Linked DNA regions of Struthio camelus. The protein of the gene in region 2 interacts with the protein of the main gene of each other region in a pairwise test. Links are inferred from orthologs where the notes say so. Each region holds a gene or a part of one and is shown on either strand. Other genes may lie near its edges. The genes, in order: FUCA2, MEOX2, TRIM42 and AIRIM.

What was found.
Region 1: the proteins of MEOX2 (region 2) and FUCA2 interact in binary tests that used the Homo sapiens proteins (3 or more experiments, as listed by UniProt). The two-hybrid records come from large-scale screens. The link is inferred for Struthio camelus from reciprocal best matches to the Homo sapiens genes MEOX2 and FUCA2.
Region 3: the proteins of MEOX2 (region 2) and TRIM42 interact in binary tests that used the Homo sapiens proteins (3 or more experiments, as listed by UniProt). The two-hybrid records come from large-scale screens. The link is inferred for Struthio camelus from reciprocal best matches to the Homo sapiens genes MEOX2 and TRIM42.
Region 4: the proteins of MEOX2 (region 2) and AIRIM interact in binary tests that used the Homo sapiens proteins (3 or more experiments, as listed by UniProt). The two-hybrid records come from large-scale screens. The link is inferred for Struthio camelus from reciprocal best matches to the Homo sapiens genes MEOX2 and AIRIM.

What each region holds. Positions count from the first base shown.
Region 1 is NC_090944.1:77,011,823-77,019,508, forward strand, and holds the start of FUCA2 (plasma alpha-L-fucosidase), read right to left. Parts: upstream 3,018-7,686; 5' UTR 3,012-3,017; coding exon 2,788-3,011; intron 653-2,787; exon of another isoform or gene 450-652; coding exon of another isoform or gene 391-449; intron 1-390. UniProt on the Homo sapiens protein: Alpha-L-fucosidase is responsible for hydrolyzing the alpha-1,6-linked fucose joined to the reducing-end N-acetylglucosamine of the carbohydrate moieties of glycoproteins.
Region 2 is NC_090943.1:33,643,146-33,650,832, forward strand, and holds the start of MEOX2 (homeobox protein MOX-2), read right to left. Parts: upstream 3,007-7,687; 5' UTR 2,577-3,006; coding exon 2,066-2,576; intron 1-2,065. UniProt on the Homo sapiens protein: Mesodermal transcription factor that plays a key role in somitogenesis and somitogenesis and limb muscle differentiation. Required during limb development for normal appendicular muscle formation and for the normal regulation of myogenic genes.
Region 3 is NC_090950.1:10,498,903-10,505,951, reverse strand, and holds the start of TRIM42 (tripartite motif-containing protein 42), read right to left. Parts: upstream 3,023-7,049; coding exon 2,990-3,022; intron 1,204-2,989; coding exon 875-1,203; intron 1-874.
Region 4 is NC_090964.1:10,953,083-10,959,404, reverse strand, and holds AIRIM (AFG2-interacting ribosome maturation factor), read left to right. Parts: upstream 1-4,347; coding exon 4,348-4,592; intron 4,593-4,674; coding exon 4,675-4,854; intron 4,855-4,939; coding exon 4,940-5,058; intron 5,059-5,386; coding exon 5,387-5,427; 3' UTR 5,428-5,812; downstream 5,813-6,322. Other genes in the region: CDCA8 (borealin), read right to left, coding at 153-254, 580-659, 1,294-1,433, 1,765-1,840, 2,377-2,417, 2,695-2,823, 4,042-4,123. UniProt on the Homo sapiens protein: Part of the 55LCC heterohexameric ATPase complex which is chromatin-associated and promotes replisome proteostasis to maintain replication fork progression and genome stability.

The DNA.
Region 1 (7,686 bases), on a different chromosome or scaffold from region 2:
AAATACATCCTCTGACATATTATGTAAATACAGATAAGTGAGTTGAAATCATCAGCTCCTATTTGCATTAACACTGAGGCACATGCTGTTACATGAAACTGGAAATGGAATAAAATCACTTCAGAAAGTAACAGTTTCAATTATCGAAGATTTCCTTTTCTCTGCCCTCTCTCCCCATGCTATACTTTTTTCCAAGTACTCCACTTTGGAAAGGTGCTGAGATTTTATCTGGAGCTATGTCGCAAAGCAGCTGTACTTTGGGACTGGAAAAAATGGCAGTCTTATTCAGTATCCAAATCCTGAAAATTTACTAGAGGGCGCAGTTGCACAGTTCATGTAAGCAGGTCAGATGTCACTAGGAATGCACTTTTTCTGGCTAACATGACTCACCCTTCTCCAGTCTCACACATCAGTCTGATGCTCCTGCTCTGCTCCCCACACTGCAACATCTGCAACCCACAAACACGCAGGCCAGCAGCTTTGCCTCTCTCCTGGTCCAGAGTCCTCCACACCAAATGCAGCCGATTAACCTGATGTGCGAGCTGATGCTCATGGTCCCGAAGCAGGAGAGAGGCCTGACTGCAAAAGTCCTGTAGCCATAGCACACGTGAGGCTGTGAATCAAAGCAACCCTACTGGAAGGCACATCCTCCAGCAACAACCTGCCTCCGCAAGAAGGCGGCCCCAGCCCCAGTTACAAAGAGGCAGGTATACCGTTACACGCAGGTATACCGTTACACGCAGGTATACCTCTCCCTCAAACCACAGGAGCAGCGCATCCAGACTTAGGAACTAGAAGAGAAGCAAGACAATGACCTCTTTTTGCAGCCCACCTCTGCAAGGCAGGGGCAATTTCTATCCTGTTTTTCCATCACATCAACACTCAACATAGCAACATCACTATTCCAACTGCCCCAGTCCACAGCAAGGTTGGGACCTCTGCTCTGTTAAGAGTGGTCTCTCACCCTCACCGTGGGCAGAGATCATAAATCACTGATAGACCACTATTAATTTTCAGCCCGCTCCATTCCTCCCCTTCCGGTAATAAAAGAGGAGATCCAAGAAGAGAATGCAACAATCTCTACTGCATAAACAGCCTTACTGTTGGGAACACTGTGACTGATAGTATTCATGGGAAAAGCGTCTGAAAGCATTTACCTTTCTACAAATGGAGCCAAGCAGCAAAATCCTGTTGGCAGATTCAGGCATAAATGAGTCCAAATTCAAAGTGAAGGAATAAAGCAGTGCAAAACCTGAATGTCTGAAATGTGTTCATGCCTTCTGTCCTGAACTGCACTCTAACTTCATTTCTGTAAGACTAGAGTCACCACATGGATATTGCCAAAACCTCCCTGAAGGCACCTCAGCATAAAGAGGCACAGATTCTGGCAGCCAGTGGGTTAAAAGCAAAACAAAACAAACAAACAAAAAACCACAACACTAGAAGAAAGCGGCTGAGACAGTCTTCCTCCATGGAAGAGCCTGAAAAAAATCTCATCTGAAAGTATGCAGTTGCATAAAGAAACAGATGAAATCCTTCTCCTGCTTCTTTTCTTTTGTCATACAGTTTGCTAACAACGTTAAAAACTACTGGAATAGAAGCATTAAGTTTCAGAAACATATTGACCAAGATTGCATAACTCTGAGGGTAGCACAATGGGCTGGGTGAGAGCTGGAGTTTATGACTTCCCATTTGAAGCTGTTAACAACAGGCCTCCATTACCCAACCTGAGTGCTATCTGGAGGTCCCTGAAGCAGCTCCACTCCTATGCATGGCAAAGGAGCGGAGACAACAGAGATGTAACAAACTTCATCAACTACTGTTAAAGCGTTTTGGGGTCTTTTCAGAAGAAAAACAAAAGAACGAACGTGTGAGCCTGAATCTGTGTATGAGTATCAGAGCATGGCGCTCTGAGTAATGCCTGCACCCAAAACTAACTTTTTTACCCTCCAGAAAGTCATTAGTTAATAAATGAAACCCATGCTAAAAAAACTGCTGAAACCCTTAAATGAAACACTGAACAGAGTAAGCCAGATTTTTTTCAACAGAAAATAGTGGTTTGCTTATACTGATGTCGGTTTGTTTTGCGGACATTGCGTTAAGCTCTGCACCCATTATTACCTTTATATCACAAAGGTAACGTGACTTATTCAAAGTCAGGCAGAAAGCACGGGGCAGCGCACGCAAAGAAGATGGCAAAACAAACAGCTACAGCCAGAGGGCCCGAGCCACCGAACACTCACACAAACCAAAGTTTTTATCCAGCTTCCGAATTAAAATTATCTGCAGGATCAGAGCTTTAGGTTCGTTTCAGTGGAAAAGAGAGCTCCTCAGCCCGTGGGGTCAAGCGAGGCCTGCCTCTTGCAGTCACCCCTTGCAGCAGCGCTGCAGCAGAGCACATCTTCCCGCTCGCTAGCCTCTCTGCAACGTTAGTCAACACATTCACGAGGTTTAGGGGCGGACGGACAGGCGGACGCACCCATACCGCAATCATATCAAACTCTGCTTCCTCCTCAAACCGGGTTACAACGTTTCCGGCCTCACTGCGGGCCCTGAGGCAGGTTAACGCCTATTGCACACAGGCCCCAGCTCCACAGGCCCTCTCCTTAGGGGCGTCAGACCCACGGAACAGACCCGTTACCGCGGTGGTGGGGCGGGGAGCAAAACCACCCCCACACCCGCCTGCGCAGGGAGCTGCTTTCCAAGAAAAGCCTCCCAGCCGTGGCGCGGCTGACCGGCGGCAGCGGGACCCCCTCTTCCCGTGCGCGCTGCCCGGGGCCCGCTCACCAGAACCACTCGCTGCCGAAGCTGGGCACCGAGAACACGCCCCAGTGGATGAAGACGCCCAGCTTCGCCTCGTCAAACCAGGCGGGCAGCGGCCGGGCGTCCAGCGACCGCCAGGTGGGCTCGTAGCGCGGCCCGCCGCCCGCCGCCGCCGCCGCCGCCAGCGCCAACAGGAGCGCGGGCAGCGCCGGCCGCAGCGGCGCGGCGCGGGCGGCCGCGGGCGACATGGCGGCCGGCGGCAGGACAGGCGCCGGGGCCGCGGCCGGCCGTTACGACGCGGCGGGCGGGCGGGGCCGTTGGCCTCCGGCGCGGGCGGGGCCGCCCCGCCCCCGCCGCCATGTCGGTGACCCCCTAGGCGGGGCGGGACGGGGCGGGGGACTTTAGTCCTACCCGCCTGGGCCGCTACCGCGGGCATCGCCGGGGCAAGGCGGCCCTCGCCGCCCACGTCTGCGCGGCTGGGGGCGGGGGGGCGGTGACAGCGAAGCCGCCGGGCCCGTCGGGCAGGCCCCGGCTGTGGGGCGAGGGGCTGACAGGAGGGCGGCGGGAGGGAGGGAGGGCCAGGCTTCCCCCACCCCACCACCGCCTCCCCGGCCTACTGAACCGCAGCTCGGAGCAAGCCACCAGCCCTAGTTTTACTCGTCTCTGCTGTCTCTGGATGAACGGCGCTAATTCTGCGTCAGTAATTGCTGCCCGTGCCCCTCTCTGTTCTCTCCCTAGTCTTATTTCTTCCCTATGTATCCCTTTCCAACTGCCGTGACAGAACCTCATAGTTCCCCGGGTTTTAGATGGAAAAGCGTGCAAGCCAGGGATTTCATGTCAATCACTACTGTTTTATCTAGCTGCTGTATCACAAATAGCTAAAGAGGATTTTAAGAAGAGGAAGCGACCTCTTTCTACCTTGGACAACATCCTGCCTTTCTCTTTCCACTTTCTCCTTCCCCAGGAGCATCTGTCGTGAGCTGCTAGCACTCAGCTGCACTTTAGGTACCAGCCCGTTCTTCAGAAACCAAATTGGGATTGTTCTCTGTCAGCGCTGACCTGAAAAGCTGCCGGCAATTAGCCTGGTTCTGCGGTGGCCTCCGCGGGCTGCTGGTTTGACCTTCCTGTCTCCTGCCTGCCGCAGGCTCAACGTCCCACCACAGAGCTTTACTTCCCTGACAGAGCATGACAGCGTGCAAGTTTTAATGCTCTGCAGAGCTCCTTTCAGCCCACCAGGTGGTTATACCTTCCAGGGCAAAAAGGTACCCCCCAGACTCGTCAAGTAGAGGTTTCCTTGTTAGAAGGATTTTGGAGGAAGCCTGTACTGAAGCTCCCTTCCTTCAGTAGCCAGCACTTCATATTCGTGCAGCAGGTCATGGGTGGCAGACACATACTTTAAAAGATGCGTCTTTTTAGCTTGGGCTACTGCTCCTTCAGTCTTTCCTGATACCTGGATTGCATACTTTTGCGTCAGTCCCTAGTTGCCTGTGAATGGCCTTTGTGAAATAGTTTGATTTAATGAGCAAATAGTAACTTTCCAGAATCATCACCGCACATGGAAATTGCATTGGCAACCTCATCAGAACAGTTGAAAAATAGACGGGCAGGCAACTGAAGCAATCTCTTTCTACCTGGGAGAGATGTACACTTTGCTGTTGAGGCTTTTCCTGATCCGTAGAAGTAGAACTTCAGTTTCCAGAGCCATTAGCCACAATTATTACACTTGTCCAAAGACAGTTAAATGGCTATTAAAAAGAAACATACATACATGGTTTGTTAATGTTTTCAGTTATATACCTTGAAGAGTGTACTAAGTTGCAGGTTGTTTAAAAAACATTCTGGCTTCCATGGTATCATCCTTTTTGTCTGACTGTTCACATTACCCTGATTTACAAATGCCCTTTGAAAATCACACATACGAGCCTTTCCTTTTCTTCTTCTTTTTTGCCTCTGCCTCTTCATACTTCTGTCTTTTATATTCAACATTGACCTACTTTCTCTATGTCTTCTTTTACGTTCACTCCTTTAGATGTCACTTTGCTTCTCAAAAGGTATTCCTAAACTCCTTTGACCTCATGGTACGATATCTTTTCTAGTTTCTCTTTGGATTTCTTAACATTGTGCAGTTTTTTCTTTTTGATCACTGGCCAACACCAAAGGTTTTCAGGCATTGAGCAGCTCCTTAATGTGTGAGTTTTGAAGCATACTCTCTGAAGCTTATTCTGTGCAGCACACCAAAGTTACAACTGCTGTGTGGCTGAAAATGCTTTGAGGGAAAGATCATCCAAGAAAAAAGCTCAAAAAAAAAAAGAAAAGAAAAGAAAAAATAAAAGAAAACAGTTCAGTAAAGAGGAGTCATGAGTTTACTTCTGATTAAGACTTAACCTGCTTCAGAAAATGTCACCAGCCCACACATGCTTAGCCACTGAAATCTCTAGTGAGAGAAAAGGTCCTCAGTGTACAGTCACATCTGTAACGATGCAAGCTGTAAAGGGTAGATAGTTAAAATAGTACATTATGACATTTTTCGTATAATATGAGACCAACGTCAATGTCTTTACAGGAAGCTTTCTGAACATGGCTAGAGAGTGTCTGTACAATGCAGGAGTAATCTGGCCCCCATAGGAAGGTCTGTAAGTACGGAGCTCCTTGCTGCCACAAGTGAGGAGAAGCCTGTACAGCACAGTCCTGCTTTCTGCAGTTCATATAGGAAAGGAATGGTCTCTCAGTGGAGGGAAGAAGAGGGAAAAATGAAGGCAATCCCTTGGGAAACGATGAACAGAGCAGACCTTTTGACCTACCTAATTGCTGACACATGAGACTTGCAGTCTGGATCGATTGCTTGGACAAAGGCAAACGGTGTCTCAGTTGGTATGACTGCCGGGAACACTGCATAATGAGTGTGCCAGGGGAGCTGCACAGGGGCAGGCGTTGCAGGGAGGGCACTTGGTTTCCAAGTGGGAAATAGAGACCCATAGCTGAATTTCACATGGATAGATTTCAGACTTGATAGGATTTGATTCAGACCTGAGCAGTGCTAGACACTAGAGTCTTTCCATATCATCTGAATGGGACTTTCATCCTTGATAGTTAGATCATGTGATATTGGATGCCTTAAAAATATGGAGTGAAATCCTATCAGTCTTCACCATTCACTTCAGTGCAGTTGGGATTTTATTCAAGGCAGAATATAGAATTATTTGTGTAAAAAAAAAAAAAAAGCAATGAAAATGAAACCATTATATTTTCTCCTATTACCTTTTATGTCGATTCCTTTTAGAAAAGTACATCTGAAAAATGAAAAAAAAACCAAAACCACGGGGCTTGATTTTGTACTTTTTACTTTTTTTTTTTTTTTTTACTTTTCCTGCAGTCAGTGTCAGTTCTGCTTCTGCTCTGAAAGGCAGAAGGAATCACTTCTTGATGTATTTAGAAAATGTTGAGTCACGTGTTTGTACCCTTGTGTAAAGCTTGTTGTCTAACAGTGTAACAGCGACTGGGGAAATGCCTACCCTTTAAACGTGAAAGCATTCCTCTCGGGCAGGTTTGACTCACCACAGTCCCTACCAGTTTCAGCAATGCATTGTGCAACCTCTTTGTTGCGGGAGGATGGCAGGTGGAGGAAAACAAAACTGATATTGTCAGTTGCTCCACTCACTAATGATGCTAAGTTTTTTCCTTCTGAGAGTAGAAAGTTAAGCGGAGCCAAGCGATTACCGAGTCACAGCCGCTGCCGGCGTCAGGAAGAGCTGCAAGGCACGAACGCTCTCCTCCTCCTCCTCCTCCTCCTCCTCCTCCGCCCCCCGGGGCGCCGCAGGTGCGGGCTGCCCCTCCGGCCCGCCCGGTGCCGCCCGGACGGGGCGGGCGGCTGCGGCAATTGCGCCCGGGCGGCACAACTCGGGGCTCTGAAAAGCCTCGCCGGTGGGTCACGTTGGCAGCCACCGGGGGGCTCAAGCAGGAGGCAGGGGACGACTGCCGGCTCCCACGCAAGCACAACGTTGAGCGGTTCCTCCCCCCCCGCCCCGGGCTGTCCCCAAGTGCCCCGACCGCCCCGGCGGGGCGGCTCCGCGCCGGGGCGGTCGGAGGCGAGGGGCGGCTCTTCCTCCGCCAACTTTCCCTCTGCCCTCCCTCGCGGCCTCTTCCCCTCCCTCCTCGGCTCCCCGCCGGGCGGCTCGGCTCGGCCCGGCCCGGCCCGGCTCCCCGACGGCGATGGCGGGGCGGCCGCGGAGCGCCGCGGGGGCGCCGCCGCCCGCCTGGCCCCCGCCGCCGCCCGGCCCCCGCGGCCGCTCCCAGAGCGACCTCTCCGCCGTCGCCTCCTGCCGCAGGAGCTGCCTGCTCCGCTCCGCCGTGGGCGGCTCAGGTAAGGCAGGCCGGGCGGCTCCCGGGGCCGCGGGTCCCGGCCGGGTAGCCCGGCCCGCGGGCGGCGCTGGCGCTCGGCGCCGGGCAGCCAGCCGCCCAGAGGCCGCGGGGACCGGCACCGCGCCGCGAGCGCCGTCCCGTCGGGTGTCAGCGACTGGGTGCCCGCGCTGGCGCTTTCACTCACGCTGGTGGTGTTGATCGAAATTCTGGTGTTCCACTCCGTGTTTTCAGGTCGGAAGGGACCCGGCCCGGACGCGGCTGGGTCACGTTAGCTGAACTAACCTCCTCCGACTGCTAGGGCAGGAAAGCCCGGAGGGGGCTGCAGGGTGCGTTTTGGAGCAGGCGTCGAGGCTCCTCGCGCTGCTGCTCCACGCGTTTCGCCTGAATGGCGCGTTAGAATTTTGCTTTTGTACCTGTATTACCTTCTAGTCCTTCCTAAGGATGGTTTCGTTAACAGGGGAGGCAAACATTTGTGAATCAGTATCCCTTCTTCCACTAGGAGTTAACCACTGCAATTGCACTTGGGGTGTTTTGGAGGTGGAAGCTGGCCCTTTGAGACATCGT
Region 2 (7,687 bases):
ATACAAACGCCTATTGAAGTACTTCCAAGTGTGATGATTATGTCTCATAAGTGGGGAGGGGGAGGACGGGATTCTTTAAAGTATGGTGATTTGTTTAAAAAACGGATTAATGGGAAAAGTAGGAGATAATTTTTATTCAAATTAGGAGCGATTATGGATGACAAATACAGAAACACATTGACTCAAATAGTTCTTGCTGCCATACATTAGAAGGACGTTAAATATCTAGCACCATAGTTCAGGTTTAATAAAGGGGTGGGGTTAAAAGGTCGGTCCAAAAGTCAGTTTTTTCCTGAAGAAAAACCGAAGATTCTCTGGCAACTCAGTTGTCGTCAAAAGGCACCAACTTTCAGTTTGAGAGACTCCTAATCGTGTGAACGGACATATATTTTTTTCTTAAGGGAAGGGAGGAGGAAATAGTTACCTGCCTTGATCTTCAGAAAGTCTTAGAAAGTGAAGTTCGGAGTACAGTGCAATATAAACATAATCACGACTAAAGGCTTGCGCTCTTGTCCACTAAATCCCATGGAAGACTCCAGTGGCTTCAGGATGAGGTCTGAGACATTCCCCGCTGCTTTTTGCATTTGCATTGCAAAATGGAATAAACAGAAAGCAATGCAGACATTTCCCTGACAGTGAAAGGCATCAATATCTTTTTTTTCTTTTAGCTTTAAACAGTCTGACAAAAGATAATAAAGCCTTACACAAACAGGCATCCAGTTATTTTCCAGTAGCAATGGGGACACAAATTTTAGTACTGCTCATAGACCTCACAGAATCAGAGAATTCCTTTTATTCCACAAAATGTAGTGAAGATGCAACAATAGATTTTGCTACAAGTGTTTTACAAAATATGGCTTTCAATCTTGGCGGTTTTAAAACCCATATACCAGCTACATACGATAAAATAAAGTTAAACCCATCCTGAATCACTGTAAACATTTCCTAACGTAATGGGTAATGAACAAAATGACAGTGTCCTTGAAGTACTTTTTTAAAATAGTTTCTATTGCTTACCAGCTCACCAAGCTCAAAATATTTCAAGTGAAAGAGGTCACAGTTTCAGCAGTGAACTTCATAAATATCTGCAAAATCCTTTCACTTTCCCTTGCTTGGTAGCAACCAAGAAACTCGCTATGCCCGCTCCTGAGTTTTCAAAATGTTGAGTACTCTCTTTTTCAAGTGCCTACTGCCTGTCTCAGTGTAGCTTAGATGAGCCTTCAGTTTGTATCTGCTGCAACGGAAGTGCCATCCATCGCACTGCCGTCGCGGAATGCCTTTTGTCAGTATGGGGCTGTGACTGGCTTGGCCATGCTAAAAGCAGAGATTTTGGCAGTTCGTTTGCACGCTTAGCGATGCCTAATCATCATCCCGCCACGACCGCGGGTCTGCACGTTTTTATGCTCGTCTTGGAGTGAAAAATCGTGGTGCGTTTCAAAGTCCGACAGCTCCTTCCTTCCCTCCGCCCCCGGCACAAGGACGCTCAGCTGAACTCGCGGTCTGAGACGCCAGTTCCCCCGTTTGGCGGAGGGACTCCCGGCTCGGCCCCGGCCGGGCCGCGGATCTGCCGCGGCCGCGCTGCGGGGCGAAGCGTCCCGGCGCTGTGCAGCCGCCGCGGAGCTGCGGTGAGCGCCGCGGGGGAAGGGGCGGGAGGGGAAGCGAGCGCGCTCTATTCTGAATTTTGCAGCAGAGGTGGTGTATCGGGCGCTGGGCGGGGGGGGGGGGGAGAAGGGGAACACGGCACCAGATGCTAAAATTTCCTCGTCAAAACTACAAACGTTTCTCTCCTGGACTATACGAAACTCGCCCACCCCCTTCCCCCCGATTTCATGCTCTATCACGTGCTGGCTTTCTCCTTTTTATTTTTGCCCCGTAGCCCTAAAAAAGCTTGCTTTAATGATGGAGCTCTCGAGAGCGCGTTTGAGTGAAGACGCGACCCGGGAGCCCGGTGTCAGCGGGCGGCCAGAGCCCCGCGGCGGCGGGGGACCCGCGGCCCGGCAGCGCCGCACCCCCCGGCACCCTCCGCCCGGGGGTCCCGCCCGCACGGCAAAGCGTGAGCCGTTACCTGAGCTGTCGCTTTTCCTTTTGCCGGACCTCTTCTCTGTTTCCACCGGGGACAGAGCTTGCCTGCCATAGTCCCCTGGCGCACACGCTGCCCCCGTCGGGGTGTTAGTGCCCAGGCTGGAAGAGTTTGAACAGAGGACGGGGGGGCTGCTGCCCAGCTCCGGGGGTCCTCCTGAGTCGGGCTGAAGGCAGAGGCTGTGCCTGGCCGCGGCGGGAGGAGACGACATCTGAGGAATGTGCCAGTTCGTCTGCAAAGCCTGGTGCTGCTGTTGCTGGTGGTGGTGGTGGTGATGGTGGTGGTGGTGGTGGTGCCCCCTATGATGCTGGCTGGCAAACATGCCCTCCTCATTGGGGTATCCCGCTATTATGCAAGAGGAAGAAGAAGAAGACAGATCAGGGTAGGACATGTGGTCAGATCTTCCATGCAGGGCAAGAGAAGACTGGGAGAAAGGGTGCAAGCTCTGCGCAGTGGCATGGGGGCTGCGCAGGCAGCCAAAGAGTGTGTGATCCATGGCATGCAAGTCTCAGGTTCCAGGCAGGAGAGTTTAGGAAAGATCCAACTTCACCACCCTTTGTCAACTTTCACTGTAAACAGATCGGGGTTGGGATTTTTTTTTCCAAAACGGCAACGACAGACTTTGCAGCAGGCAGCTGAGCTCAGATAATCCAGGTCTTTAGCCCTAGTGGCCAGTCTCCGCTGCATAAACACTCGGACCTAGATGAGCCTTTCTCAGAGCTGCTCAGATGTCAAGAAGTGGGAGAGGTTGAAGCCAATAGAAGGTGGTCCCAGAGAACTGCTTGAAGGGGGAAACAGCTCTCAGAGGTTATAAATACAGTAGTGTGTAATGTGAGCTGGGGGCTGGCTTAGGAGCACAGCACTGACCACATGCAAACTCCCTCCAAAACGCCAGCGCCGTCCCCGCGCCGAGCCGCTCCGTCAGCGGGCGGCAGCGCTGCGCGCCCGCGCCCCGGGCGCCCGCGGCAGCCGCGGGGGGTGGGGGAAGGGGGGCCGGCCCGGCTCCGCGGGGGCGCAGCCCGCCCCTGCCTGCCCCCGGGCGGGCCGGGGGGGAGCGCGCCCCGGCGCCGCGGGGCTCGGCGGGGCGGCCCCGGGGGGCGGCGGTGCCCCCGCAGCCGTGCGGCCCCGCGCGGGGCCATCACCGCCCCGTCGGGGCCTCTCCGAGTGCCACCGCCCCCTGGAAAGCCAGCGGAGGAGCGCAATAAACACGTGAAGCACAGTCCGCGGGGGTTATTCTGAGGGGGCAGCGGGAGCCCGGGTCGGGGGGGGGGGCCGGGGCTAGCGCCGGCACCTTTTCTCGGGGGCCGAAAGGGGCCGGCGAGGCCCCTCACCTGCGCTCCCAGGTGGGCGGGCGGGCGCCGCGGCGGCCGCGGTCCTCCGAGCGCGGGGGAGCGCGGGTCCGGCCGCGGCGCTTCCCGCCCCTCGCTCTGCCCCCGTGTCGCATCTGCAGCGCCCGAGGTGGCCTGCCGCCCTCCGCGGGGTGCCCGCACCTACCTCCGCACTTGGCCTTGGGCGCACAGGACCTGCCGGGGCCGGCAGGCAGGGTTGCAACGAAATAACCGGCGCTTAACGAGCTACGAAACATGGTCGAGGAAAGACAGTTTCCTTCTTTGCCCCCTGCCCCTTCAAAGCAAGAACTCACATTATTTTTATTCTCTATATCTTCATTTTCTTCGTTGCGGTCTTTAGTGACTCAAGAGGGACCGGCTAGAGAGTCGGTGCTTGGCTTTTTTCCTTTTAACATGCTTGTAGTGGAATTAACAGTAGCCACGAAGAAGGCAGTTAACTGGTCTAAATGACGATAACGTATTTATTGATCATTGCCCAAGAGGTGCCCACTGCGAAAGTATTTTGTTGCTTAGCCCTTCCTCCTCGGTCTACCTTCCTCCTCCTCCTCCTCCCAAATCAAAATTAAAAAAAAAAAAAACACGCACACATACAAAACCATTACGTTCCTGCCATTCAAGTCTAAATTCTTGGGCCCATGTGCGAAAGATAAAATGAATTTCAATTGCTATTGGAAAAAATCAGGAATTGTATGAGATTTGCAAGAGCTAGTTTCTTAAACGGAAATTGAGTCCTATTTTGTGGGAAATTAGTTTTGCAGACTTTCTGAAAAAAAACTAAAACTTTTGTTCAGCAGCTGCTCCACTTTTCCCTGCAGTTTCAGACTGAGCTGGAACCTGTAGCAGTCTTTCGACGGTAAGATTTTCCCCCCTTTTCTGAGATCTAATGCTTTTGAAAAATTGTCTTTAGATTTAAGTGTAACAATGCGGTCTTTAAAAAGAGCGTGGCGTCCAAAGCAGAAGTTGCTGCCTCTGTGCACTGTTCAAAACTTGATATTTCTTCAGAATAAAGGAAATATACAGTTACAACACTGATGAAATATTTTGTGCTTTTCATTGTGTTTATCGTTTCAATATGTGCTCTAATATTAAAAGAAGGGAGCGCAAAGCGAACGCAATGGCTGAACTACTCTTGGTTTTGTTAACTCGCAGGGCTGTGAGAACAGTGATGCCGTTGTCCCTAAGAAGTAGCGGGGTGTCACGCAGCAAGAGCTGGGCGATCCTCGCCGAGCGCGGTGCCTCGCGCTTCGAGCTGCAGGCGAGCCGCAGCCAGCTCGCCCGGGGCCGTGTCCCCGTCGGGGCGGCCCGAGGCGCCGCCGGCTCCGCGGCGGGCGGGCGGCGCAGGCGGCCCCAGGTGGGAGCCCCGGCAGCGGCGGCCGGCGGCTCCCCCCCATCCCCCGGCGGCCTCCGCGCTGCGCGGCCCTCCGCGGGGGCAGGCGGGCGCGGCGCGCCCCGTCAACCTGCTGCCGCCGGCACGCCGCCGTCGGGGGGGACGGCGCCGCGCCGGGCCGCGCCGGGGGGGCAGGAGTGCCAGCACCCCTCCTGCCACCGCCGCCGTCGCGGCAGCCCTGACCCCGACACAGCTGCGACGGGGCTGGGGAAGTGCCAGAGCCGCGCCGGTGTAAGAATGCCCCCCCCCCCCTTTTTTTTCCTTTAAATTCTAGGGGATGGCCGCACAGGATTTCTCGAGGATAAAAAGCGAAATAAGTGAAGTACAATGAAGACAGCGAGAGGGTACGAGGGGGAGGGAGAAAGATTAGGTTTCCCGGAGAAATAAGAGACGGAGCCAAATAGCACTTTTTAGGCAGAGGTAGGAAGGGCTCCGAAAGGTGAAGAAGAAGAAAAAAGCCCAACAACAAAGTAATAATGACAGAGCTAAGCATTCGCCATTAGCTTCATAATCAAATCCGAATATTGGGGACTGTATCTCCTTTGGATCTTAATTCCCCTAATAAGTACACAAGTCCTACATCAAGTGTTCTTATTTCTTCTTCAATGAGAGTTTTTAAGCACACAAGAGCTGGAAGTACAAATTTCTGTAGAGCCTTATGTTTTCATTTTAAATAATATAAGCAGAATGCAAATATAGGCAATTAATGTTGACATGAATAAACAACATCAAACGTTTACTGAAATATCCTCAGAAGTTTCTCTATGGAGTTATCAAATAACTATATACTATGCCATCCTTTGTAAAAAACGTGCAACTTTTCTGACAAAGAAAATTCCACTGCAAAGCTTTTCACTGAAATATTTACTGAAGAAAGTGTAAACAGTTATTACCTCTCAATATTATTGATTGGATTCTCATTCATGTTGTATCTTTTTAGAATGTGTGTTTGACCTACATGTGGTACAAAAGCATAACTTAAATCAATGCCAACAAGTTTGCCCAAAGCTTACAACATCAAATGAAAAAATAGAATGTTTTAAACATACGAAAACAGTAAACTGTTTAACTCTTAAAAACATCCGTAGCCAAAATAGTTTGGGACATCATTTATATTTTCATATACAGGCTCATATTTGCATTTGCTTTATTTTTTGGGTTTTGTTTTGTTTTAATTTACCATTTATGGTAAAAGGGATCACATAAAAATTGACCTGAATGAATCAGCGTAGAGTTCCTCAGCTTCAGGACTTCCGTAGTCTCGCTCAATCTTTTACGCTGGAGGCTAAATGCACCATCTTCCTGAGTATTTATCAGAGTATAAGCAAGATTCTTGTACACTTCTTTCTAGTGCGCAGCTTTCTAATATATGCATACTACGAGAACATCAGACAAATAGTCATACTTGCGGACCAGTATTTCAGTGGTATAAACTGTCATAGCTTTGTAGAAGTCAGCGTAAAGATGACATTTTTCGCCATTTGAGAATATGCTCCTTACTGTCAAAGAGAAAGCTTATAAATATGAATTCAGTTTATTTTAGCCAAAGATTTTATTGTACTCAAGAGCCTACCAAAGCAAGAGGACGAGATTTTATTGTACTGTAATTATGATCAGTTCATATTTTTCCATGGCAATTTGGTGAAGGCAGGCATCATTATTTAACCTTAGAGTCAATCCAGATTCACAACAGATGTATGTTTATTTTCAGTCTTTTCTTTTTCCCCTAAATTTTCCCGTTTAACTCCCGTAGAAGCAATATAATTCATTTCTCTTGATACCTAGGCTGTAACGAAAACCTATAGATACAAGCAGTAATAAAGCCACAGTTATGCATCGTTTCAGAGATGCTTGGATGCCTTAACTGAAAAGCCTTATGCAGAAAATGAATAATGTGCTGACGGGCTTGTCAAAAATACTGAATTCCTCCATAGTTAAAAAGGATGATGATCGCATTTCCCATTCATAAACCTACTATGCCAGTATCTTCACTATACTTCACCATAAAAGCAGTTTTTGTGAGAAATTATACTACCGCCAAGCACACCACATAACCTGAACATTTCTTTTCTGTGGTGTACTTCCATTCCACTCTTTTTAGCATTTACATGTGCCATGGTTTAATACGTATCAGATACAATTTTTGGTTTAAAGGCTACAACATATCTATAGAAGCTTTAAGCCTGAATCCATATTTTCAGTTACTTCTCCTGTATACATATGGATTCTGTTCTAATTTTCATGATCTCCAAGTATTACAAATTTTAAAGCTATGCCAGCAATTTAGTGTATTACATAAAAGCTGTGCTGAACTATGAGGCCCTCACGGAAAATGATTTACAAGTTTGCATTACATCATTAAAAGTTATTTGAATTGCCAGCCCACTCTAACCAGTAAAATATCTTATGCTTCCTATTTAATTTAAATAAACAGATGAAATATTAAAACAGTTAATGTACTTGAGGCTTCACACCTGAGCTATGATGTTTCAGGAATGCTTTTAGAGATTGAACGATGGGAAACTTGCATTCCACATTAGATACTCAGAAGCCTTAAAACAAGTTCTCCTCCAAACCTGGATGTGTGTTTGTTTTAAATAGATAATTTATTTGCAAACAGAACTGTCTTGCACAATACCATTTATTTCCCAGTCTGCACGATATTGCAATTTACCAATTGTTTCACTTTCTAGTACTATCTCCACTTAAGTACTCTGAGCTGAGAAATGGCTATTATAACCCTTCTATAATAGTTTAGTAATATGTATCTTTCATTTGTATTTAGAAATGTACTCAAAGTGCACATGCAAGCAAGGCAATGATGCCTGAAAAATATGTTTTCCATTTTGTTTTTTCCCGATCTTGACAGTT
Region 3 (7,049 bases), on a different chromosome or scaffold from region 2:
TTTCCGATTAATAGAATGAATGAAGATCATCCTTAGTGTTAGTAGCAGCCTTATTGTGATTGATTCTTTTATCTTAATTGCTAAGGCTTTCAAATCTAGGTAAACATTCTGGATTACTACAGAAGAGGCCTGCCTTTCAGGCCATGGTAAATCCCTGTTATCTTCAAATCTTGATTGTTCTAGCCTGCCTCTTACCCTGTGGACGTTATTCTTTTAAAAATCCAATGTTACCTTTGTACTACTCCACGAGTAGTTAACAGAGTTTCCAGAGCCTTGACAGGAACACCAGTATTCAATGTTTCCTGTAGATCTCGTTCTGGACCACAGCAGTCTGGCACTCTGCTGTATTTCTTTTTAGCATTCATATTGCTGTTGTTGTCCTTCCCTCATTCTCTCCCTACATGTTCAATAGCAACTATACTATCAGCTTCTGTTGTCCATGACAAACAGTAAACTAAAGAGAATAGAATTTTCTGTTGCTGTGAAGATTCCTTCTGCTCTTCCTGGTTTCGCTATATAGGAATAGACCATACATTTCCAGAAGTCCTGTCAATTCCTTTCTGTTTGCTGCTATTGTAGTCTCGAGTTCTTTTGCTAGCTTGCTAGCTATTCTACAGAGGTATTGGAGAATACCTTTTCAGTTGACTCCTCTTTAGCTTAGTGTTTCTGTATTTAATAATTGGCCCCTTCCCTTCTGCTTTTCAATTTCATCTTCTAAGATGATATCCTGCTGTTACTTGAAATAGCTGGGAACTGGACTCTATCAAGCCAACAGATCTTATGTTCCTAAATGCAGCGCATCCATTAAGACATAATGTCAATCAGAAAAAAGGAAAAAACCCACAAGAAATTAAAAGCTTTTGACTCCACTTACTGAACAGTCCCTAGTGCTCTTGAGTGGTGTGGTTTGTAGACAGAGTTTCTGCAGCATCTGCTTTCGTAGTACTGACACGCTGAGTTCTCCCCACCACAGCAGTAGTATTTACAGTCTGGGTCATTTGAACAAGAGCAGCAGCACCACCAGCAATTTGCATGCTCTGCACATGAGCAGTGGCAACACTGGCAGGGTGCATCTTCTGCATACGGACATGGGAAACAGCTGCAGTTCCGCTCATTGGTAAATAAGAAGCGCCAGCACAAACAGCATCCTTCGCTTCTGCTGTGGCAAGTCAGGTAACAGCAGCAGCAGTTTGAGCAGCATGGGTGGATTAAACAGGGACGTTCACTTTTGGCCATCACTCTATCAGACACTTAGAAGAAAGTTCATTAATCTTCTCAGCTTCTCCTCACACTACAGCTTTACAGCAATTTGGCTCTCAAGAAGGCTTGCGGTTTGATTGTTGGGTCAAGCTCCGTGCTGTGAAAACGTTCTAATGTCCTGTTCTAACTGGAACAGAATAAGGATGTCACAGTGACACATTCAAATAAGGACACAGGCAGAATCTCACACACATAGAGCTGACACACTGATGGCATCATCTGTACATCACAGTAACTATAATCATTCTTCCTGAATTTCTTGAAAACATCTACCTCATTCTCCATTAATCGCATAGGCAGCTTACACACCTAGATATCCTAAGGCAACCATGTTCTTAAGACAACACACTTACTTTATAGACATTTCATTGGCTAAGTTGGGTGCCATAAGTGAATGACCTGAATCAGGCCCTAATCAGCTATAGTGAGATTTTTCATCAAACCTTCATAAGACGTTAAGCATAACACATGAAAGAACTAAGATTCATGCATCTGGAAGCATTTCCCTGTAACTGTCCTTATTATAAGCCTTTGTTTGCCAGCGTTTGTGCTCTTGAACAATGTATGCCGTTCGTTCCCTCAAGGCCTAAGGAAAGGAACTAAACTTGGGTTGTAGGTTCAGTACTATTGCTCATTCACTGTGGACCTGCCTTCTTTCCTGAAGTCCAAGTGTGTTTCCTGTCCTTCCTTAAACTCACCACTCTCCTGTAAGTGCCCCACTCTCCTATAAATGCAATATTAGACATCATATTTTAGTTATTCTTTAGTTACCTCATATTAAGCACCTTCTGCCTTAATTTAGGTGACCTACTCCAAGATTTAAATAGCATTTTATATCTGTTTACAGGGATAATAATTTTGAATAAAAATTAAGTTATTGTAAAGTATGTATAAGCTTCTCAGTATGCTAGTAGCTTACTGTAATGCAGATATATAAAAAAAGAAAATCCATCCTCTAGGAGTCACCTGTGACAGACAGCTAAAACAGCTTATTCTCTTACTTGAAACTGTAAAGAATAGTGGTGTCTATATGGTACATTTTCAAGAATACTTACTTTTAATTGTGGCCTCTGTACTGTAGGTTGCTAAGAGCTTCTTTAGCAAATCAGCTTGTGTTAATGGGTTAATGTATAACTGTGAGTTACTAAGATAGGTCTTGACATAGTTTATTGTAACAGCTCCTCTGAGCCTCTTTGCTCAGTCTGTTCTGCCTAGAGAAATTTTAATTCACTGATCCAGAGCCCTATGGACCATAATGGCTGTGTCATTATGGGTAGCTATTTACATGATGGGCCATAATAGGTCCTTTGGAATGGTTATGCCTATTGTGTCAAGGGGGTTTTCATGCATAAGCACTAGATCTGTGCGCTAAAATTCTTTCCATAGTAAAACCTGTACCTTTAGTGGATGATAGTTACTCCATTTGTCTTTCCAGTTTAATCAAAGGTAATACGCTTTTTATTTTGCATGTTTAATTTTAGAAGATGAAAACACTTTTGAATTCAATTAATCGGTAGAAAAAAAGGTATCTTGTGATGCTTGTCTGCTTTTCTTTTCCAAAATGCAAGCATTCTTATATCCTTTTTTGAGAAAGGAGAGGTGGAGGAGTAAAGAAAAAAAAAAGGAAACAGATCTTAGTCCTGTGTATCACATTTTAGATCAGAGCAAACGTTAATGGCCAAGTTTTAGCAGCTGGTGCCTATGGCTCTCTTTTCCATCTCTACACAATGCAGCTGTTCAGAGTACCTTCTTCATCTATCATTCTGAGCAACACCTTTTTTTTTTTTTTTAGTGTTTTTTCTATGAGTTGTGTTTTTCCACTGGGCCTTGAACTTGTTTGTCCCCACCTCCCCATATAATTCCCGTAGCTTTAGTGGTCAAATTCTTGCGTTAGCAAAACTACTCTCACCATCGGCCTCATTCCTTTGCAGCTCCCAGTATAGGTGACCCTCTCTGAGTCTATCTATGAACGTGCAGACAGTTCTGAAATGATCCCATTTCATTAGTATGTTTATTCTCCTCTAACAGATACTGAAAGATCAAATCAGTCTGGCTGCCAGAGAAACTGAATTAGATGCAACAGCTGCAGCCAAACTGACGGACTTTTAATAGTGTTTGCAAACATGCTCCCCTCTGCCCCCACCTCTGTTGTGGTTGGGTCTGGCTGTCATTTTCATCACAGTTCTCAAGACAGCCAGGCTCAGATGTGGTTGGCTTCATCAACAAACGAGCCTGACCCTGCAAGGTGTTGAGTCTCTTAGGCCTTGTTATGATATATGGCCATTACCCTAGTGCTCAAGGAAAGCCAAGAAGAGAGAGAGAAATAAAAAAGGAAAAAGAAAAGCACAGTACGGTGAAGACACAGGTCAGTTTCCATTACTTCATATTAGTTACATATAGTCACTTGTGTTGTACTTCCGTTAGCTGTCAAATAATATAATCTAATATTTTTCACTTGGCAGCTTATCCTATTTAGTTGTGTTTTTCAAGATAAGCCTAAGATTGTTGTCTTTTTTTTCTTTCTTCTCCCTTTTGCTCTACCTCCAGATATCTCTGTGATATTTCTAACGTTAGTATTTCTAACTCAAATTCTAGAATGCACAATGATTAGTAATGTACAAAAAGTTGGAAGAAAGACCATATGCCATTTGTAGCTTACTCCTTAACTAGTGTGTATAGTAACACACTATGATATGAATCTGGGTTTCATCGGTTGTCTCCTTCTCACCTGAGAACTGGATTGTGTATAGCATCTTCTTAGACTTTTATTCACTGGAGAGGAGAACAGACGTGAATATGTGTATTGCTCCATCATTGGTGGAAAATAATAATGAAATGTCATGGACACGTTCCTCACCACTCACATTTCAGGTATCAGCGGGTTTGTTAAGGTCTTAGTTGTGTTTTGTCACTACAATGAAGGGGAAAGCTAGGTTCTCCTGTATTACCCCAACCCTATCTTTAACGTCCTGAATGTAATTTCTCTGTTAAATTATTTATTCCTCTTACGATGAGTATGGTGAGGCACCTCATGTCTGTGCTCTTAGTAAGCTTATTGTCTTGCAGTTCTTCGTCCTTTCACCAACTCAAAAAATAAGGGAGAATGAAGGAAACCTGTCTCTTGCTTGCATCCTTACTTCACGCAAGAATATAAAGTAAGCACTGTCTCAGCAACTTGGAAAATTTAACTTTGGCTGCCTTCACGCACTGCCAGAGAGGTAAAGCAAGCTCGTGAGTCAGGGAGAGGAGGAAGAGGGACTGCTACCTTACTGTCCTTCCTATAAAACTATGTAGCCCAGCAGGATTCTCTCTCTAAAGGGTATAGCAGCTCTTTATCAATAAAATGAAGTGATTGAGGTGAATTGACTGCAGCACATGGCAATGTCTGCTTTGGGGGTCTTAAAGAATGAAATATAAAAAGCCTGACGTTATACACCCTAAAACGGAGGCACTCAGAACTGAGAGTCACTTCTCAAAGCATTATTTCTGGTTAGCTGTGGCTTTGCCCGCAGCAACCAGCAACAGAATGGCAAAAAGACTGTCCCTTTTCTCGTAAGAAGACTCCCAGTTTCTAGTTCATTGTTTCCAGCATCACTTTACAACAGGTATATCTGTTAGAGGGCAATTCCCTAGTGATGGGACAGCCTAGGAAATAGTGGGGTTTACAGTATTAGCTTTTTTCTTGCTTTGTAGAGCTTCATTGCCTCTCCATAATTCAACCCTTCATCTCTAGCCAAATGGCTACCCTTATGTTCCAAGCCACAGAAATATTTGGATGGCTTCTTTTGAAAAAGGCAGAGTTGAAATATTAATCTCTCCACAGTTGCTCTCTGCCTTTCTTCAGCAGAAAATTTGAGAGGGCTCAGCTGCTATGGAGGCAGACCGGTGACAGCAGCTAGACCAGAGATGGGGGATGATGAGACAAAAAGATTAGCAGCCAGTAAAGCAAGAGAGTACATTGTGAGCTTTAGGCTCCTTCATCGCTCTAAAGCTGTGTAAGTATACCACGCTGAGCTCCATATGCCTATGGATAAAGAAGACAGAGGAAAAATGATGATAAATTTTCCTTCTACTGCTTTTTGCTAATGGATACAAGAAAGCATTATTTGATTTATGTATGTAGGACTACTCCATGGAAAAGGTAATACTAATGTACATCTAACAGTCATTCAAACTCTCTTTGACTTCAAAAGTGTTTCTGAATACTACACACTACAAAAATTACAAATGTTAGGATTGACTGGCAATGCGAAATACAGTATCTGCGGAGTACATTATCTGAGCCAGAGGGAAAACTAACAACAACGCCAGAGAAAAGGAATTGCTAATGACTTTTTGTGTTCTTCATTAAAAAGATTAACTGTGATCATGTAGTAACACAATTAACACCCGCAACATATAGTTACCAACTATGTAGAGTAAAATAAGAGAACAACAAGCTATGTTACTCTTAAGTAAATCTGTGTTTTCAAATTCTCTGGGCCTTATAAAATTCACCAAAGGAATAAAAAGAAGTATCTGGAATAATCAGAGGGCATTTAGGAGTTATTTTTAAGACTTCATGAAAAACATTGGAAAAGAAATTTAGAAGAAAATTAAGAATTTTAATTTTGGTATGTATGTAACATGCTGCTCAAAACAGATGCATTTCCCACAGACCAAGAACTTTCCAGTGATGCTGCGCCAGAGAAATAGTAGCATTTTATACCCCTTTGCACAGATCTCAGAGGTATACAGTGAAACGCTACAAAATGCTCCAGAGGATGTGTTTGTCATAGATGTTAAGAAACTGTAATAACATGCCGTTACTGCGGGTCAGCATGCATGGTCTTTCCCAACTCATTTCTTAGTCCTGTTACGTGCAGGCCTCTTGGCTTTATGTGTTAACAGTCACAACGTGAGGCCTGTCATTCGGTGGAACAAATGAAAGTTCAGGCATTTCACAGAATGACTGGAAATACTAGGTATGTATTATGCGTATCATTCAGTCCCTGCTCTCACAAGCAGACAGGGCATTAGTGGCAGCTGTTGCATTTATTTCTCGAACTGTGCACCACAGTGTCTGTCATGTCGGGGGTCTCCTGGGCAGGCCCTCGGGACTGGCCCGCCACGCAGGGGCAGTGTGGGGACCTCAGGCACCCCAACTGGCGCGCTCACCCGGCTGGCGGGTCCCCACCACAGCCCCCTGGCCGGGTCTCGAGAGGAGAGGTCTCGGAGCGCTTGGGGGACGGCAATTTTAGGGCTGCGCTAAATATCCCAGCACATCTCAGGAAAGGTACGGGCCTCATTGCCTCTCTGAGAGGGGCACAAGGTGGTCACAGCGCCACGAGGTCGTTCAGGCGGGCGCTTCGCCGTGCCCTGGGGCCGCCGGTCGCCGAGGCAACGGGGCGGCCGTTGGGCTCGCGAGCGGGCGGGACGGGGCGGCCGTTGGGCGCGCGCGGTGGGGGGGACGGGGCGGCCGTTGGGCGCGCGCGGCGGGGGGGACGGGGCGGCCGTTGGGCTCGCGAGCGGGCGGGACGGGGCGGCCGTTGGGCGCGCGCGGTGCTGGGGACGGGGCGGCCGTTGGGCGCGCGCGGTGGGGGGGACGGGGCGGCCGTTGGGCTCGCGAGCGGGCGGGACGGGGCGGCCGTTGGGCGCGCGCGGTGCTGGGGACGGGGCGGCCGTTGGGCGCGCGCGGTGGGGGGGACGGGGCGGCCGTTGGGCCCGCGGGCGAGCCGCCTGCTGCTGCGCGGATCGGAGTGTCTGAAATTTGGTCTCATCGTTCAGTTTTCGTCCTCTCTCCTTCTGGT
Region 4 (6,322 bases), on a different chromosome or scaffold from region 2:
GCACACTGATCAAGGCACGCTTAAACCCAAGGTCTTTCGTTACAGATTCAAAGAGTCATCAAGGACCATTTTGCAAATAGATGACAGATACATAAAGCAAACAGTTAAGACCTCCTCTGTATTAAAGATTAACAGAGAAATAGAACACAAACCTGGAATCAAACTTGGGTGTGACAATGGAAGTACCTCCCCGAGTGCAGACATCAACAATTCTACCAGTAGCTGGAGTGATAAAGTTGTTTCTGCTTGATCTGCTAAAGAAAAAAAATCCTGCTCTGAAGAATCATTTTAACATATGTCCGAGCCCTGTCTTATCATAGCCTCAAATGAAGGGGCCACCACAGAAAAAAGTCAGAGGTTCTTACTGATTAAGGGTGAACCTCAAAGCTAGGGATAAGCTGATCCTCAGAGGAGAGGAAGTTGCCTGTCTTTCATTCACTGTCAAATCACTGATTGATTTAGTAGGCTGATGCATAGGCATGCCATGCTGTAGAAACATACTCCATTCCACTTGAGTTTTATGAGCAACACACTTACTCTCCTTTTCTGAAAGCCAGTGAAAAGGCTATCTCCTGATACCTTTTACTTATGCGTTTCACTCTTGTTGAAGGAGCTCTTCTGCTCTTGGTCACAGGCACTTTTTTGGTGGATGCCTTCACCTGAAACACATGACTCAAATCAGTTATATTATCACCAGACAGCTGAGCCCAACATGAATAAATGCTTCCACACAAAGAGTTTGACTTAATAGCTTCCTTTTTAAGGCACAAAAAGCCTGAACCAAATGCCATACAGACTTCTGTAGTCTTTCACATTTTAATATCACTCATATGTTCCCCCCCTAGCTCTGCTGTAGATTAGGAGGACACTGGACTACATGAACTTAATCTGACCCAGTACTGTCGATATATTCATTATTGCCCACAGCAAAAGCAGCAGGAACTGGCACTGGTAAAGAATTTTCACTACGGTTAGAAAAGTCTCTAGTATAGTGAGTATCACACTCTGTATACAACCATAAATACATTAGCTCAGAGGAAAGGGATGAAGAGTGAGACCCTGCAGATCTACAGAAGCAATAGAAGCAGGGATCAAGCATTTGCACAAAGCTAAGTAACTGCACTCCAAAAGCAAATGAAAAACCAAGATCCCCATCACTAGACATTCCAGGAGACAGTGGCTAGCTATTTTCAAGTCCTCTTTGAAGTGCCGTGAACACCATTATCACAGGCATCATCTCAGTGAAATAGTTTACATCTTGAGAACAGAGTCATCATAGCAGTAGCTATTTACCTTCCCAGTTCTCGGATTAATATTTTCAGCTTCTAGTTCTGCAAGAGATTGGTTATCATGTTTTGTCTTCTTTGCTTGAGGGTGTAAAGGAGACTCTGCTTCTTCTTCAATAGCTTCAATACCCTGTTTAGATTTTTCAGCTAAAAAGAGAAAGTGTTATCTAAGCTGAAAGCAATAAGTCATGAGCTAGCAGTTGGGTCAGAAAATAAACAATGATAAATATTTTCGGCAACAATTTGCTCCTGAAATCCAAATCCCAATAAGAGCAGCTGATAGAACACTATTATTTAAAGTTTTGTTCAAAAAATTAAGTAAAATTACTTCTGGTAACAGGAATAAAGGAAGAATCATTTTATTGTGTTTAAACATGTTGAAGGCTGTAAATAGGAGTTGAATTATCATTTACAGTACACAGACCATTGTAAGCTTTCATCTTATTGAACTCATCACAATCCTTAAAAGCAAACTGACCTTTCTTGATGATTTTTAAAGGAGTCTGGATAACTTCCGCTGTTAACTTGTTTATTTCTGTTATTTCCAAGTCTACCTACAATTAAAAACAGTAATGATAACATTAGAATCATCAGTACAGCATAACTGATGAGCCAAAGTCGTGGAGCAAATGCTTAATTATTCTAGAACAGAAATACATCCATATTCTTCTGTTGTGCTCAAACTGGGAGCTTTCATGTTATTCTAGAAGTGACAGCAACTTAACAGGAGTGCATAACATTCAGTACTAAGGAGTCTCATTTGGCAGCTACAAGTATCCTTCTGCCTCTTCCCTACAGCTTGGTTTTAAGATGCTTTACAGAAAAGTGCATATTCTCTCAGGGATCTAAGAGTGAAGTTAAGCAGATCAGGAAAGCTAGCAGCGCACCCTAGGCAAAGAACAGTATGGTCAGACAAAGCCTACAATAAATACAATAGATGTTTATTACCTTTAGGTCTTAACACAGTAGCTGTGAAAGTGTTTATGCAGTCTGTGTTATTGTAGCCTTTGTACAAATTCAAGAAACCCTTCTCTCCTACAGGGGCATAAAATGTCCTCAGGAAAACATAGTATTTATGTTAGACACCTACCGTTGCTGCCTCTTCTAAGACCTTTTTGCTTCCTCCTTTAGCTACAAGGAAAACATTAAAAATCAATATACATCCAGGTCAGCTTATACAATGCTTTAATACTTCACCAGAATGGTGGAAAAACACAGCACAAACAAGTTTCCTTGGCAGCAAGTGAGCAGCCTAAGGCAAGAAGAGAGGAGTGCTTCCAAGAGTACTCGCAGGCTTTTCACTCACGAGACTTAAGGCACCGTGGGATTCAGTTTTCTCTGGCACGGTTTTTCCTTCCCCCTCCCTCTAGCCTAAGGGAAGCCCCGCACCCGGCGCCCCCCCCCGTACCGAAGTAGTCGAGCCAGTTCATCTCGCGCACGGCCAGCGGCAGCCGGAGGATCTCGATGTTGTACAGGTCCTCCACCTCCTTGACCAGGCGCTCCCCGTTCGTCCGCAGCCGCTCGGCCCGGCTCTGAACTGCGGGGACGCGCACGGCCTCACGCCGCCGCCGCCACCCCCGGGCCGCCCCCCACCACCACTGCGGCCCTCCGCGGAGCCGGCCCGGGCCCCCTTCCCCGAGACCCCCCCCCCCACCGCCACCCTCCGCGGAGCCGGCCCGGGCCCCCTTCCCCGAGACCCCCCCCCCCACCGCCACCCTCCGCGGAGCCGGCCCGGGCCCCCTTCCCCGAGACCCCCCCCCCCACCGCCACCCTCCGCGGAGCCGGCCCGGGCCCCCTTCCCCGAGACCCCCCCCCACCGCCCCCCTCCGCGGAGCCGGCCCGGGCCCCCTTCCCCGAGACCCCCCCCCCCACCGCCACCCTCCGCGGAGCCGGCCCGGGCCCCCTTCCCCGAGACCCCCCCCCCCACCGCCACCCTCCGCGGAGCCGGCCCGGGCCCCCTTCCCCGAGACCCCCCCCCACCGCCCCCCTCCGCGGAGCCGGCCCGGGCCCCCTTCCCCGAGACCCCCCCCCCCACCGCCACCCTCCGCGGAGCCGGCCCGGGCCCCCTTCCCCGAGACCCCCCCCCCCACCGCCACCCTCCGCGGAGCCGGCCCGGGCCCCCTTCCCCGAGACCCCCCCCCCCACCGCCACCCTCCGCGGAGCCGGCCCGGGCCCCCTTCCCCGAGACCCCCCCCCCCACCGCCACCCTCCGCGGAGCCGGCCCGGGCCCCCTTCCCCGAGACCCCCCCCCCCACCGCCACCCTCCGCGGAGCCGGCCCGGGCCCCCTTCCCCGAGACCCCCCCCCCCACCGCCACCCTCCGCGGAGCCGGCCCGGGCCCCCTTCCCCGAGACCCCCCCCCCACCGCCACCCTCCGCGGAGCCGGCCCGGGCCCCCTTCCCCGAGACCCCCCCCCCCACCGCCACCCTCCGCGGAGCCGGCCCGGGCCCCCTTCCCCGAGACCCCCCCCCCACCGCCACCCTCCGCGGAGCCGGCCCGGGCCCCCTTCCCCGAGACCCCCCCCACCCTCCGCAGCGCCCCCCCAGGCGCCCTTCTTCCAGGCCCCCTCCCCCTGAACCCCCCCCAAGGCCCACCACCCCCCCAGGCCGCCCCCCTCCAAACCCCCTTCTCCCAGGGCCCGCCGCGCCCCCCAGGCCCCCTCCCCCTAGACTCCCCTCAGGGCCCGCCGCCCCCCCAGGCCCCCTTCTCCCAGGGCCGGCCGCGCCCCCCCCCCCAACCCGCGGGCCCCCCCCCACCCTCGCGGTCGAAGTCCTTGAGGAAAGCCGCGAGCTTCCTGCTGCGCGCGGTGGCGCCCGCCCTCCTCCGCGCGGGGGCCATGGCGGCCGGGCCGGGTCGAGCCTGGTCGGTGGCGGAGCCGGTGTCGGTGCGGCCTAGCGGAGCCCGCCCAAGGCGCGTTTAAACCCAACCGCCGCCGCGGGCGCGGCCAATCGGGGCGCGGCGCGGGCGGCGCGCTGACGCAGCACGGCGGCGGCGCGCTGACGCGGCGCTGACGCAGGGCTGAGGCGGCGGGCGGCATGGCGGCGGCGGCGGTGACGATGGCGATGGCGGCGGCGCTGCGGGCCTGCGCGGCGGCCGTGGCGCGGCAGGAGGCGGCCTGGCGGGCGGCGCTGGCCGCCTGGGCGCCGCTGCTGGGCTCGCTGGGCGGGCTGGCGGCGCAGGCGGGCGCGGCGCGGCGGCTGGCCTGGCGCGGCTCGCCGCTGGGCGCCTTCGGCGGGCTGCGGGCGCGGCTGTGGCGGAAGCAGCGCGGCGCGGCCGAGGCGGCGCTGGAGCAGCTCGGCGGGCGGCGGTGAGGCGGCGGCGGCGGCGGCGGGGGGGGCGGCGGGGGCCGGGTCGGGCCGAGCCGAGCCGAGCCGCCGCGTCCCGCGCAGGGCGGAGCTGCGCGCCGTGCGGGACGCCGTGGCGGCCGCCGTGGCCGCCGTGCTGCGGCTCTACGAGGAGCGGGCGGCGGAGCTGGGCTTGGCGGCCGCCCTGCGGCGCGGGCCGCGCTGCCCCTCGCTGGCCGAGGTGCTGGAGGGGCTGCAGGACGTGGAGCGCTACTACCGGCACCTGTATCCTTCCCCCGTGTCGCGCCCTCCGGTGCCCCCCTCCCCCGGTGCCGTCCCCCCTCGGTGTTGGTCCTTATCGGGCAGGAAGGTATCTGGAGAGCAAGCTGCTGCTCCTGCGCATCAGCTGTGACAGCCTGGCGGACATGGAGGCCCTGCCGCAGTCCTGGGAGAGGATCCTGGAGCGCTACAAGCCAGACGTCGTTCAAGGTAGTCCCCCGCGTCTTGGTGCGGCTCCGTGCTGGCGGTGGGGCCCGGCAGGTGCCCTCGCTGCACGTCCCGCTGCAGTGGGTGAGCTCGCTGCACGTGCGCTTTCTCTTTGCAATGTGCTCCGAGATCTTGCCTGTGATTTATGGGGTAAATGAAGTGGCATCATTGTGCATAGCAAAGCAGAGAGCTTGGTGCTTTCTTTTACTTGGTCTGCCACGATAACGTCGCTTAAGATTCTTTGTTATAGCTTTTAGAAATAAGTTAATTTTCTGTGGACGTACAGTACAAATAAAATGTACTAAACTAATTATTTCTTTTTTTTTTTTAGATACACTTCTTAAGATTTCTCTTTTTCTTGACAATCAGTGAAAGCTGTGCTGCTAACCAGGCTCCTGAGGGAGGACAGGAGACACTGATGTTGATCATCTCCTATAAGTATCTGGTATAAGACTTGTGATATAGCCATGAAGAGGAGGATGAGCTGAGTAAGCGTTTCTCATGTCTTTTGGAAGCTAAGTTGATACGTGGCCTAGGAAATGCTTGGGCTGTTCCATTTTCAAATGGAAATGGACTTAGTATCCAAAGAAGACAGCAGGAAGTGAGTTGTCATCTCCACCTGCAGAAGCTGGCCGTTCTCTTGTGTACCCTGGATATTTTGCATACCGAAAGAAACGTTGAGACTCATTAAGTTGCAAAGAAATGGTACCGATTGTATTTAGAAGGGTCCTGCAAATAAATAAATACATAAATAAAACATAGTGTCCTGCACTTTGATATCACGTAAGAGAGATTTTTAAGTACTGTCCTTACAAATAAATAAAAGATGCCGAATCAGGGCTTGGAAACTCTTTGTGCCTTGTGCCTCTGAGCAACGTATTTTCTTTCGTCCCATCTTCCATACAATCCCACGTCTTCCCTCAGTCATCTGTGCAGTGAAGAGGAAAGCTAATTTGGTCTGAAAATGTGTTCGTGGAGGTACACGGATAAAGCTTAGACACGTGAGGTCTAGCAAGTGCAGTTTTCAAGAGTAAGAGTGTACTTTGTAGCATTGTTAAGGGAAGTTTTGTTACTACGTGGCCTTCAGAGCTGTATGATGTTTCGATGATGATCCTAGATGAGCTTAACAATCCATTTCTTTCATATAAAGACTGAAGGACATAAACTCTTTGTAGTTGAACACGAGTTAGGTTCTGCACCCTTGTCAAATTAATCCACAATTTATCAAACATCCTTGTGTAAAGAGATGGACATAAGGCTTTCTTCT